2 linked regions of the Drosophila melanogaster genome follow. The protein of the gene in region 2 interacts with the protein of the main gene of each other region in a pairwise test. Each region holds a gene or a part of one and is shown on either strand. Other genes may lie near its edges. The genes, in order: CG15445 and CG30403.

Region 1 (7,840 bases), on a different chromosome or scaffold from region 2:
CTTCCACGCAGGCAGAGGGCTCCGTTTGACAGCCGGTGTCTTGCAGAGAGACAGGGACCGGTTGTTCCACCTCCTGCTTAGGCACGGACCTCCTGATCTCCACCAGCGTTCGCATAAGAGCCATCAGCAAGCACTGCGTTTGTCCAGCCAGATCCTCCTCGTAGTGGGCCTCCGCCAGCTTTCCAAATTCCGAATCCGCTAGAGCTTCTTTTTCTCCCAGTATGGCGGCCACGACCTTCTGCAGTTCCTCCGTCTGGAATCGGAACTCCGGCCGACTCCGGAAGTCCGGCAGGTTGCTGCGATGCGGCGTCTCGCTGCAGAAGACCGACAGTGTGAAGTGGCAGTTCTGGGAGTGCAGAAACTCCGCCACCAGAGTGTGCAGCACCATCGCCAGTGGCGAGACGAGCAGTGCGTGGGACTGAGCCATCTGCACACCAGCAGCCTTGCTCAAGAGCTGGCCTGGAACGGGTACATTTATGGTTAGATCGATTAATAAATTAAAAAGGGGGTTTTCAATAAACTTTGAGATGCCAAATAGTAAAATATCTTTCATTAGTTTGATTAGCAAACCCACCGAGTGCCGTATTATTGAAGCAGTGAATGAGCTCCACCCGCAGGTGAGAGTGCATCTCCCGGGCAATCCCCTCCTGGTCCAGCCACTGGCGGAACTTCACCTCGAACTCCTGCTCCGACATCGCGGCCAGTTCCTCGAGCTGTTGCCTCAGCCGTTCCGCCCTGGCATCGGAGTCATCCTGCTCCTCAATCTGATCCTGAGGAATAGGTACGTGCTTTCTGGTAGGCCTTCCTGTGCGGTATCCGTGTGCTCCAACCTCCGGGGGCAATGATGATCCCCGCGTTACTGAACACAAAATGGGATTATCAGTGAATATGAATCGCTATTAAGTTCGTAAAGGTTTATTGTACTGAATATTTTAATTTGAAAAGATTATTTTTCGAACAAATTTGTGTACGTCGGAGTATAAAGATTGCTGGTTTCTTAGAGTTATAATAATAATAATAAAAATAGTTATAATAATAATATTAATAATAAAAATAATTATTATAATAATAATAATAATAGTTATAATAATAATAATACTTATAATAATAATAATAAAAATATTAATATTATTATAAAAATAATAGGCCCACCTCTAGTTATATTTGATGGTCCGCACGGTCCTGGTCTGCCCAGTCCGGTTGCTTGGAGTCGCTCCCTGGACTGCGTCATTCTCCGCCTGGCGGGATCGCCGTCGGTGCTGATCCTTCGATTATGCTGGCGCACCCGCTGTGTCGCCGACGCCGCTGTGGCCCGCTCCTGCTTAATCTGCTCCTCCCGCTCCCGCTTTGCGGCCTCGTGCTTCCGCTCCCGCTCGCAAGGCATGCCGATGCCGCCCACATCCCGCTGCTTCGCCCTGAACGATAACGTTGTCGTGCTCGCCGGCACGTGGCGAACCTTCATGCCGTCCTGAAGGAACTCGAGGCTCGGATGGGATCGAGAGTTGGTCTGCGTATGCTCGGATAGAACCTCTGACCGCCGCTTACATGCGCCGCGTTTGAGTAACTGAACTTTCCAGGTAAAACGAGCACGAGCGCAAGACACTCACCACCAACAGCGAAATGTGACAGGTGCGACGGAGCCTGCCCTGCCACCTGGGAACTGAGTGAAATTGGGGAGGAGGTCAACTCGATCGTCGGGGGTTGGTCCTCCTAAAGGCGTCAGCTGTGTTGCCTATGTGAAGCGTGCTCTAAAAATTAAGTGAAATATATGACAACTGAGTTCTATGAAATGGTATTCTAAGCAAAAGCTTATTTATCATAAGTAATTGCTCACTAATACTTATAACGGCGGCAGTATTTACTGCCGAGCCCATATTAAAACAGCAATACTTCTTGTGGAAGCGTGTATTTGGTGTATTTTTCACAATAATAATATTTTGAATTTTAATTCAAAACAGTTCCGCTTTAAAGTTGGCAGTTGACTATCGATAGATAATTGTCCGCAAAACAGCTGATTGCTAAGTAGTAAGTGCATCAGCCGTACTGACGGTGAAACTGAAATATGAGTTTCTTGCGTTAAATGGTATAGAAATAATATAATATAAATCAACAAGCACAGCTGTGTTTGCCAATGCGTTTTTATAAAAAACCAAATTTGAAGACTTTGACTATTAACGGGCAGAACGTTCATGTCAGTCAGCTTTTGCAAGCGTTTCGCTGTGGCTGACAGATGGCCGAGTGCTGCAAGAGCCGATAGCTATCGAGTTGCAGTTGTTGTGTCAAACGACAAAAAAGACCCAATTGCGGTGATTCCACCAGGCAGAGCTTATCCCATACGAAGACGCAGCACAGTTCACATTAAATAAATTTCCGTAAATAGTTCTTATTTGTCACCCGCCCAAAATTAAAGTCTACTCCACTGCACCCAACCCCGCGATTATCAACGACTGCGCATCGTTCTTTGTTGTTTCGTGTAGAAACACATGTGCAAGGAAGAAGAAGAACCAGAACATCACATCACTCGTAAATAGTAAATATCTAGAGCATGCCCGATCCTTTGTGACGCGTCAGTTTCAGCCAGTTCGCCACAATTTTTGCCAAGTCATCGTCGAAAATGTCACAAAACGACAACCTACTCATCCAGATCCGCGCCCTTCTCCAGTCCGATGGCGAGAAGCTGTGGGAGGAGCCCTACTACTCCGAAGATCTTGGTAGCATCGAGGGAGCACTAGAAGTACGTACTATATGCCCACCACCCCACACCTAAATGCCTTCCAGTCAGTGGTCGGGGAAATGACAAGAATGCCTGAAATACGGTTGGCAATATAGAAATATTATATTCAAAATGCATATATTATATATATATATATATATATATATTATATATTTATTTGTTAGTTCTTTTCACATTTGAAGAAGTAAGAAGCTAGTTTCGACAAGCCGTAACTTATATACACCTTCAGCTAAGTTCATATTATTAACACTTATTTTAGTTTGATTAGTTTGATCATATGATATTATTGTCCAATTAAAAATACTTAAAAAAAAAACAACATGACATTGCACAAACGAATCTTTTAAATTCCTATTATACTTTAATAATTCTGAATTACAAGAGTAACGACAAAGATATTATTTAGTTTCCTTATATAGGTTTTTGATCTGTTTCGCTTCGACTTATTTATAACGCCTAGAATAAAAATAAGATTTTAAACCGATAGATTTGTTGGCGTGTGAAAATGTGATTGCTTTCTTGAATTATTATTTATTTTTCAATAAATAGAGGTTGAGGGATTTTAAAAATAAAGTAAGACCAATAGTAGTCAAAAGAATAGCACATTACCAGCATTCATACTCAGGAACTCAGTAGCTTTGGATTAATATAATATATAATATTTTATTCTATAATAAGATGTGTATCCATTTCATTAAAGAACCTGGCGCAGAAGTACTCCGGCATGTTGGGCATCGATATAGGTCGCTGCAAGTTCTTTTTGACCGAGCTGCAGGAAAATGCTCTCCGTACGCTGGCCGCCCGACGTGAGTTCAGCACCACAGGAATTGCCACGTTGAAGGTTCGCCGCGTTGGCGAGCACAGCGGTGCCACAATGGTGGAAGTGAAGTGCAGCTTGGACATCGTGGGCTCCGAACTCCAGGCATGCATAGCGAAGAAACTGGAAGTGCCGAATGCTGCGCACGTCAAGTGCATCGCTGCCGGCAAAGTGGTGTCCGCCAATGCCACTTTGGCCGACCAGCAGTTGAAGAACAACCAGCAGTTGATTGTCATTGTGGGCGATGGGGATAATTCTGGCGAAGCCCTGTACGAAAGGATCAATCGCATCAAGGCCGATGTGGAGGCGGTGGTGTCCTCGAAGAATAACCTAATAGAGGTGAGTAAATCGGAAGGAAAGTTGCTTAGGTTGTTGTTTAGAAGGTTTTTTAAATCACACCACTTGTTTGTATTTTCGTGTCATGCCCAGATGGAGGATCAGAATGGCAGCCAAGTGTATTTGCCGCCTTCCGAGCATAAAGCCCTGCTCATGGGTTTGGGATTCTGTGAGAAGGCCCGTGCGGCCATGAATCGCAAGCATTTTGAGGAGGCTCTGCTCCTGCTTTTGGAGGCCGACGAGCATTTTTCTACCTGTGGCTCAAAGTTTCTAGAGTCCGTGGATAACTATGCTTTGCTGAACCTCGACATAGTGTGGTGCTATTTTTGCCTGAAGAACGTTACCCAGCTCCCGGATGCTGAGCATCGCTTGGCCCGCTGCAGTCGCAATTTCGGCATCAGCTATGGCGACAATTTGGAGAGGCTGTACTCCTTGAAGGGCAAGGACTGTCCCGAGAGGGCTTTAATTATGCGGCTTAAGTTGCTCCAGGGCGTGATCTTCTTCCACCAGAATCTTCGCAATCAGGCATTTGAGTGCTTCGAAGCGGCTAAAACTCTGCTAAATGAACTAAAGATCAACAACGACCAACTGGCTCTCCTGGTCGATATGGGCTTCGAGCCCTCCGAGGCTCGTATGGCCCTGCGCTCCTGCAAGGGCGGCACCGCCGTCGAACAGGCTGTTCAGTTTATTCACGAGCGTCGTCAGCAGCTCAAGAATGCACGCATGAAATATAAAGCGTCCGAGCGTGCTATGGAGCGCCGCCTGAAGCGCTCCAATTCCAAAGATTGCACCTGGGTGAATCCCCGCAGTGTCTGCAGCCTTGCTGACATGGGATTCGAGAGCGGACTGGCCACTATCGCCTTGCAGCGCTCTAATAATGATATCCTCCAAGCGGTAAGTGTGGCCAAGAATATATTCAATGACATGAATTGATCAGTATGTTTTAACTATAATCTCATGGATGTCACGTGTTTGTAAACTATAAAATAATAGAAATATTTTTTTCTTAGGTGGAACTGCTGCAGACAGAATCGGACGAACTTACTGGTGCTTCGCCATGGTTTCCGGTCACCGTAGACACGACCAAACTGGCTCAGCTTCTGCAACTGGGATTCAACGAGAACGACTCGCGCGTGGCCCTACAGAATGCATCAAATAACATGGAAGAGGCCATCGAGAGTCTGATGTGCGCCATAGAGAGCGAGGAGGAGCTGAAAGCGATTTTAAAGCACGTTGGGCGTTTGGCCGAAAATGGTGGGCAAAATCTTGACGGCCCCTCTACTTCGAACGCCTCCGGGCAGACGCAAGTTGCTTTGCCAGCGCCCATTATCGAAGCTGTTATCAATCATGCTCGCGTCGAGATTGAAACGTACAAGGCCTACGAGCGCTTTAACTCCGACCTCAAACTGAGCGACCTGGAATACCTGGACTTGCCACTTATCCAGGAGGAGAAGATCCTGACTGAGTATTTCAATATGCTGCAGCAGTAGCTTGTATTTGACTTGCCTTTTTTATATCTATACAAAAAAATATAGAAACCCGAAACCGGTTGTCAAGATAACTGTAATCATGACTTGTCTATATTGCAAATCGTAGTCTTATAATGGCACTTAAGTGGCATTCAGCTCCCCTCCCGGCTGCTGTTTGTCCAACTAGGCAAATAGTAAAATATAGAGATTTATAAGTACATGCCTTCTATTGACAACTGCAAAATGTGATTGCGCCGAGCCAGCGGGAGAATTCACCTTTTGGAGCCACCTGAAACTTGTTAGCGCCTCTGGTCATTGCTTATTTTTTTTTTATCGTTTGTTTTTTTTTTTGTCGCTTGACTCTCGACCCCGGCTCGGACGGCGGCGCTTGATTGGGTTCAGTCGTGACCTTGTCGAGGCCAAAGGGCGCCGCTCACTAAGCTCATCCCGTCGACGAATTGAGCGGAACTTACACGATTTGCTGTAAGTATTTGCTTTGCTTAGCAAAGAATTTATTTATTTATTCAAGTAGCACCAAGACTAAATATTATAAGTCAACTAATTGGTTTTCTATATGTATGTACATACATATGTGTAAAATAGTAATTTTCTATTTATACACGTTACTCGCAGAGTGAATAGTATGTAAAATGTTGTCTTGTACAAATTGGCACGGTGCCATAGGATTAAAGTATCCTGCGGCAAATGTGTTGCAAACATGTGTTTTTACATCCTTGTTGGGCGAAATGAAAAATTTAGCAACTGGATTTTTTTTTCCGTAAAAGTATTTGCTCTCATGAAATTAGGTGTGATAGGAAAATGAATTTGGTAGTTATCATACTCTTCAAATATCTGAAAATGTCCTATATCGTACAGTCTGTGGCTATACTTGTGTTTATTTTATAGTGCTAAGCTAAGACACGTGATATATACATAAAAATATAATTTGAAGAAACAAAACTTTATATCTGAAAAAATTATATTAAAGCAAGAATCCAAATCGAAGTAGAATGGTTAAATTGCCAATAGATAGTTCACGATTCTCGATTGGCAATCAGTCATTCACCTATTGGAAAGAGCCAGCACCACTTGGAACCCCCATTTACCCCCAACAACCCTTCTCCAAGTGAAGGCGGTCGCATGCGTGCCTCAAGTGGGAGTGAATGTCGGGTGTTAAGGTAGCACGTGGAAGCCAGTAGCTGACTCAAGCCACTAGGCATCCACGTACACTTATTCCGGAGCAGTTTATAATAATGGCTTGGGCTTAATGGAAATCGGCAGTGAATGAACCCCATCACTGAACCCGGAATGATTTCAAGGAGACTGTAAATTGCACCTATTGTAATTTGCGAACGGTTTTTAAAAACGAGGGCAAAATATAATTAATACATTTTTGAGGTTCTACTAATAAGATTATAGAACTAAAGTATACTCTTGAGCGACATGTCCGTGTCTTGTAAGATTTGCAAAAAAAAAAAAATATATATATATTACACGGCATATAGTCTGTAGTATGTATATAGTATATATAATTCCACCTTATACGTTGATGCGATTTTGGCCTATGAAATGATTAAGACCTGAGTGAACCCAAATCCACTGAACCCGAAATGATTTAAGCTTATAAAAAATTTAAACTCCAAAACAATGCCTATCTGAAGTATTTAAATGTTTCATAAATACGTTTCTAATCTTGTAATTGTATCTAGAGAATTACACTATGGATTACTGACGTGTGCTCTTTTGTCTCGAGCTTGTTTTTAAATTATAATTACTTTAGCTTAACTTTTTGCCACTTTAGTTCCCAGTTTCTATATTGTCATCGCTAGTTGGCCGTTTTAGTTGCTCGCTTCGCTTTATTCCGATAAACAATTTCATAATTCGTATATATAGTTTTAATTTCAGCATTTTTAACGTTTAGTCTTTTTGCGATTTTTGCCATAATGACTTTGGACATTACGCGCAACTGATACGCAGCCAAGCGAATCTGTTGGACATTTGAACATTTGAGCGTGGTCTGGGCCCGTGGACATGGACATGGAGAACCGACTCAGAATGAGAATGGTTCTGGTTGGCCTAATTCCGGGGGTGGAGCGGGGACACGGGCTTCTGGACGGCGACATGGCGAATTTGAATTCGAAAGCACTTGACAGTTGTATGCACTCTCTTTCAGGAATTTCCACTTGTCACCCGGTGTCCAATTTCCAATGGAGGAATCGCTGCGATTTGCATTCTGTGATTAAACCGGTTCAGACGCACTGACTCCGGCGGATTTGCTTCATTGTTAGTCGCAAATTGATTAAATTTCCTGTTTTGAGAAATTCTTAGTGCAATTTACTTTACCTTACATACTTACTAAAAAATATTTATATTTGATTTACACCTGTTTTGCCCGTCATTTTGTACAAGCATGGGTAATACCCCTGATTATCTAATTTAATTGCATTAACATTTAACATACCAAACACTTAAACCAAATACACA
Region 2 (6,403 bases):
CGGGGGGGTTCGTTTCTGGCGAACAGCTGATGCGGCTGCATGTGCGCCAAAAAGGGGAAATCGGGGAAAATCTGGGGAGCAGCTCGCTAAATAATACGGCTGGCGATGGCCCGGCGACGCGTTGTTGTTTTGTTAGTGTGGTGGTGTGTGTTTTGGATAGAGCTTGCCGGTCGCTAGCAACAACGAGCAACGTATGGGAGTGCGAATCCGAATGCCCAACGCCCCACGCCCCATGCCCCATCGGTCTCCACGGCCAAGTTCAGTATCTGTATCTTCGGCACATTCCGTGGGGCCTATTGTTGCACCACCAGGCGGCAGTGGAAGTGGCAAAACCAACACGAGCAACAGGACTAACTCCGTTGTGACCCAATTTAAAGCGGAGCTCTAAAATGCAACACTAGCCACTGTCCAAACATACATACATATGTACATATGTGGGCGGACTACTCGATGGGGGTTCTTGGTCCTTTGAGCCCAATTGGACTTTTAAGTAATTAAAACTTTTATGGTGCGTAATTTTTAGATATGATAATGTGATCCCACCACTACCATGAAAGTAAGTTTATTAGATCAAATTTATTTGAAAATATCATTTTGTTATTTACAATTTTTTAGTTAATCAAAATAAACTGTTTGTGACTAGATTCTAATTACGAAACTAAAATATTTCTACAGTTTGTGTCAGTATCGGGTATTGGTTGTCATTTTGAAGGTAACAGGCGAAGGGTCTACAAGAACAGTTAAGCCCGACTTGCGAATTCGGGTAGGGTGTTGATATGCTGCGAATAAACTGGCAAAGTTGATAAGCAAAAGCAACAACAGTCGTGCGTTTTGTTGTCGTTCGTCGTCCGGTTTCAGAGTCTCGGTTTTCTCTTCTCCTGAGAATTTATTCAGCACATACACCGGTTGTGTGTGTGTGTGTGTGTGTGAATGCGTCACATTTGCTGAAAGAGTCAAAATTTGAAATAAAAGATATATCCGTAACTAAATAAAACATATTTGCAACTGATTATAGATTTAATTGAAATATACATTACGCATTACATTATGTCACATTTTACACGCACTTTACTCGCGTGTATTTTACACAGCTCACCAACACACTCAGTCGGTCGAAGAGAGTGCCTCTATTTGCTGGTTCGCTGTACTGTACAGTTTTGTTTTCTCCCACTCGCAATGTTTTTGCCGTCTTGCTTTTCTGCTTTTCTTCCGGCGGCACAGTGAACGCTCGCAAATCGAAGCCACTAGATAATCCAGCAATGATATGTTACCATGAATGGTAAATTATAAATTATCTAATTTACATTATTTTTGCATATTTTGTAGTTTTATTTTTTCTGTTCCTAGGCGCATCAGCCGTACAGCAAAGGTTTAATTTACATAAATTTAAATTCGAATTTTTCGATTTGGTATGAACAAAAATATATTTTTCTTCCACTTATCATAAATTATATAACTTATATATAACATGAGGTTGCTTTGTCGTTGATTTTAATCCAATATGATACTTCAAGAGTGTTTTTAAACAAGAACACACAGCACATAAGCATGGTTAATTGTACAATGAAGATTTTCTGCCAAATTATACAAGCAGATAACGTATAACCATATTCACAGATTCATTTAAAGGAATGTAATCTCCACCATTTTCAAAAGAAACTTAGTTTTTAGTTAGAAATATGTCCATATCGCCAGGATGACCGTTAATCTTACGACGCTCCATAGAGAGCATATACTGGATTTTCGACTGCATTAGCATGGCACTGGCCAATGGCATATTACGGATTTGCGCTGCAACGCTCAACCCGAAGTAGGTGAATTCGTCCTCGCCTCGCATTTCAACTCCAAGGCCAACTCCATTCGTCCGTCCAGCTGCCGATACTCCCAGGCCCAATCCCAAGACCTCACTTTTTTCAGAAATGGAGCAGGCTGTCGACAGAGGACAGTTCCCTGCTATCGGAACAGGCGCTGGGTCTGGATGTACTGGTGAGATGATGTCTCCGATCTTGGGCACGGAAGGCGGTGGAGTGGGAGGCTCCTCCACGGGCATAGGTGCTGGCAGAACGGTAAATAAGGAAGAGGGTGTAGCATCCAACGGCCTATCGGGGACTGACAAGTCATCGGGATCTGGCTTAATCTCCGTCTGAATCTTAATCGGCTTCAGTCTGGTAAGTCGAATCTGTAGGCGCTTTAGTTGAGGAATTGATGTTTCCAACTCATTCTGTAACCAAATATACATGAAATTAAATGAAAACCAGTCGGCAATCTTTTCATAAACATCTATTAACTAACTATAATAATTATTAATAAAAATGTTTCATTAAAAACCAATCCTACCGCACAATGTGTTTTCATATTGATTCAATTTGTAGATTGCGATATATAGAAAACATCATGACCGCTGTGACCGCAGTTTAAGCTTAAGAGCAAAAGACTGATGCTTCAATTCTGTCCCAAAAGTTTTTCAAAGCCCATTGAGTTTATTCACACAGTGGGCCACACAAAATGTTCGTCGAGGAATATTTTAAATTCCGAAATGAACAAAATTTATTTGTGTGCTATTCATTTCTAGTGCTTCAAAATCCTCAATAGAAAAATAAGTCATGTTCTAAATCTTATTTTATAATACAAATGCAAATTTATACAAATGCTTAATCGTAAACATCCCTTACCGTGTCCAAGAACTCTGCCAAAAACCCGTGAAGTGGGGCAAACCAGGGCGTCTTTGGCTGATATCCCGGAATAGTTCGGATCTTCTTTAGCTCCTGGTGGTACCCAGTACGAAGATTCTTGATCTTCATCTTTACGCCCTGGATGGTAAGACCTGACTCATATGGTTCAATATCAGCATTGATCCCGGACTGAATTCGCCGATAGGCGGCGCTTCGAGCTCGTCGCAAATATGGTCGCTTGTTCCAGAGACAAGGTTCCCGGCCGTAAAGCTCTACGAACTTGACCGTACGCTCATCCGAAAATCGATAGGGTAGTCCCAACACGCCGGGCGGTACGGCACTGTTCATGGCCGCGTTCAAAATATAATCGTTTTTGGAAATGCTTTCTATTTTTAGAGAACCCGCTTTGGCAATGGTCCCTCGTGCCAAAAAGCACAAAGGGAAAAAGCACAAACGATAACCACTTCGAGCAACTGCTGCTCCACAACTGACGGTGTACATGTTGCTTTCTGCTTTTCTGCTGCTTCTCTCCACCGCTCCTCTCGCTCATGGATTCTGTTTCTGTGATGCTTTTGCTGTGTGCTTCTGCAAGTCTGCTTTCATAAAGCACAAATGACAGAAATTTTAAACTGTTGTCTAGAAACCCCAAAATTTAATGAGCTACCGAAAAAAACTACTTCTTAGTAACGCAGTCCTTGGCTCTGACAACGTATTCAAGTATAAGAATCAAATTACATATTGAAAATGTTTTCAACACTTAAAATCCCAAGAAAAGCAAGTAAACCACGGTTTTTTCAAGCATTGCCAAAGCAAAAACGAATGAATGTGCTGACGAGTTGCTTTGCTACTTTTGCGAACGAAAGAGAGCGCAGGTCCGTTATTCGGGACGCGCTCTTTGAACACGGTTGCGGATTCAAAGAGTTTCTTCTTCCGACTCTAATAATGCAAATTTCTATTCTCTCTATTTTATTCAAAAAATTAAAGCATATTTGTCTTTCAGTAAAATCCTGCAAGCGCCCCTGTAAGCTTGTTCATTCATATACATACATACATACATAAAAAATAACGGACTCACGCACATAATAAAGTTGAAGTTATTCTCAAATGAAGACTGGGAGAGGGATCGCGCATTAACAGCAGCTGTTAATTAACAGAAAGCATTTGGGCTCGCCCATTTCGAATTAATATTACAATTTCTTCGAACCAGATTTTCCCTCATGCAATCTGTGTGCAACGGAATGCAGTTTCTTTCCTTCAGGTAGGTTCCATAGTTGTTTGTCTTCCCTTCGCTCTTGCCCCTTCGCTTTTCCTGTTTCATCCTTCGCTATTGTGAACTTGCAACAGCGCGTGACATCGTTATCCTTTGTGCCTACAGGAGGAAAAACTGCAGCCACGATTTTGGATCCTTTGTTCCCGTTTCTGGGCATTTACGATTTGATTGTGGGAAAATGGTTTGCTGCATCTGCCGCTGAAAATCTAGCCGATATGTAACGGTTATTTCCCTATTAGGATCTTCTGCACATAGTATTTAATTTAACTTCAGATCAAAAGTTGCATTGTAGTTTTTATAAAAATTAAATTCAACAGTACTATGTATTTCGAAAAAATATCTTTTTTATCTAATATAAAATGGTATGTATTAATATAAAGTATTAACGAGTTTAATTGTCATTAATTTTCGATTAGTTTGAAAAATCAAAATTCAGGTGATATGTTATATAGATCTACATACATACATATATAGGAACAAGTTTCTATCAACTGTACTAAATCAAGGGTAGGCTGAGAAGTTATTATATATTTTTTAAAATATTTAATGGTACCTATTTTTTGGGCATATAAATTTTGGCGCCATTTTTAAAAAGCGACCCTCGTTCTTTGTACTGCTCAACTAAGAGAATTTGATTCCCGTGCAGTTTGTACTTATGGGAAAGTGGAAGAAAATGAGAAACCGCAAAATAGTTGCAATATTTCGCAGGAATCGAGATGTGCATTTATTTGTTTTTGCCCATTTAGTTCGTCCACTATTGTGCAAAACGCATTTTCCCTGCTTAGCGTTTTATTTGTTTTTACATGCCATTTATTGTATTCCGTTTTGCTCCCCGTCGCAGAGAGAGGGAGAGAACTCTCTTACTCTCTCACCAATACCAACACGGCGTCGCTGCTTGTCGGCGTTTCTTTGCACTCTCTCATCTTCTCTCGTTTTTTTCGTTGTGCCAACCGTTCCGTTCTTCCGTACAGTTCATTTTTAGCCACACAAGCGCAAGGTTGGTTTCCTCTACTGAGTTCTAAATAATATTGTGCAAGATAAAATGTAAAAAGTATATGGAATTAGTTATACAGATATAAGTGCCTAGTTGTGTGAAGCATATTTGTAGTGCGAAATTCAGTTTTCCGTCGTTAAATCAGTTGTGAATTTAATCAAGCAGCGCGTGTCTGTACCCCCAAGCCAAAGAGCAGAGAAAGCGTTGCCATTTTGGCTTTGACTTCTTCACTTTGCTCGCTGCTTCTTAGGCCTCGCCTCAAAATGGCCGCCAACGTCGCAGTTCCCCTTGTTTTCCGCTCAAAAAGTAGCAATTTTCCAAATTGTTTTCTAGACGCCAAGCAAAACGCGCGCCTTTTTTGCTTTACTATTTCCTATAAGATATGCGGTTTTGTGCATTTGTTTTTACCCGACATTTAGCGTTTCTCTTTTAATTTGCCGGTTCGGAGTGAGAGTGGCGTTGCTCTCTCTCGCTCTCTGAGAGAATGAAATGTAGTCTGTTCAAGTTAATTTATTTGTAAATAATTTCTAATGAAATTATTATATTTTTATAAAAATAACATTTGTGAATATCAGCAGTAAAGAAAGTTGGGGAATAGTGGTAAAAACCAAAGCGAACCGCAAAGCCACGCAGTTCTCCCGCACTCTCTCTATCGAACATCTGCCGCCTTCTTTTTTTTTTTTTGCGCACCTCTGCCGACGTCGACTGTGAGAGCGCGCTGCCTTCCTTTTTGGCAGTCGACGCTGACTCGTTCAGTTTTTTTTGAAGCACAAGCGACAAAGGTTGGTGAACGGACGGCAGCAAATAAGATAAAAACTTTAAAAACATCAATTTTGTGACATATAACGCATGCATTAGTGATAAACCAACAACTTGTTCAAATAAACGGCTAGTTTGCAACTTACTCCAACAAGAGCGAGCGAGAGGAAGAGTTCAAAGAGCGCTGTGATAAAACACGTTAAAAAACCAACATTAATTGCTTAAAGCCCCTTAAAATTGCCTCGCCTGGACAAATTAAGTGTTTCTTTGAAATCTGTACACCAAACGGCTATTTCCCCAGCATTTTCGAGGTTTTTTCATACATGTTGAGAGCGCGTCGCAGTCTGTACCAATATAAGGCAGTCATCGCATACAGAAAAAGTGTGTTGCCGTTTCGTTGCTTCCGCACTCGCCGTCGAAAGAAGTGGCACTTTTTGGCCAAATAGCGTGCCCTTTGAGCCGCCAAACAGTTGCGGTGTCAGAGGTCCATGCATATTCCTTTTGTAGAACACCAATTAATTTCATATTAATTATTAAGTGGCGCGCGTTCGAGCAGATAGAGGAAGCAAGAAGCGGGAGAGAGCAAGCGCGCGCGCGCGCATTTTCAGTTTCTTTTTTGTATTTTCTTGCTCAAGAGTGCTGAGCGATAGCCCTAGTAGGTGGTGCCATCTCGCTTGCGCCGCCATCGCTTCATCCCGGTGGTGGCCT

What was found.
Region 1: the proteins of CG30403 (region 2) and CG15445 interact in a two-hybrid assay, tested with the Drosophila melanogaster proteins (one large-scale study listed by BioGRID).

Annotation. Positions count from the first base shown.
Region 1 is NC_004354.4:21,114,882-21,122,721, forward strand, and holds CG15445 (uncharacterized protein), read left to right. Parts: upstream 1-2,279; 5' UTR 2,280-2,523; exon of another isoform or gene 2,524-2,581; 5' UTR 2,582-2,614; coding exon 2,615-2,734; intron 2,735-3,434; coding exon 3,435-3,890; intron 3,891-3,980; coding exon 3,981-4,781; exon of another isoform or gene 4,782-4,866; intron 4,867-4,897; coding exon 4,898-5,377; 3' UTR 5,378-5,563; downstream 5,564-7,840. Other genes in the region: unc (uncoordinated), read right to left, coding at 1-459, 575-859, 1,153-1,462.
Region 2 is NT_033778.4:21,708,449-21,714,851, forward strand, and holds CG30403 (uncharacterized protein), read right to left. Parts: upstream 3,166-6,403; 5' UTR 3,021-3,165; coding exon 2,673-3,020; intron 2,222-2,672; coding exon 1,661-2,221; 3' UTR 1,447-1,660; downstream 1-1,446.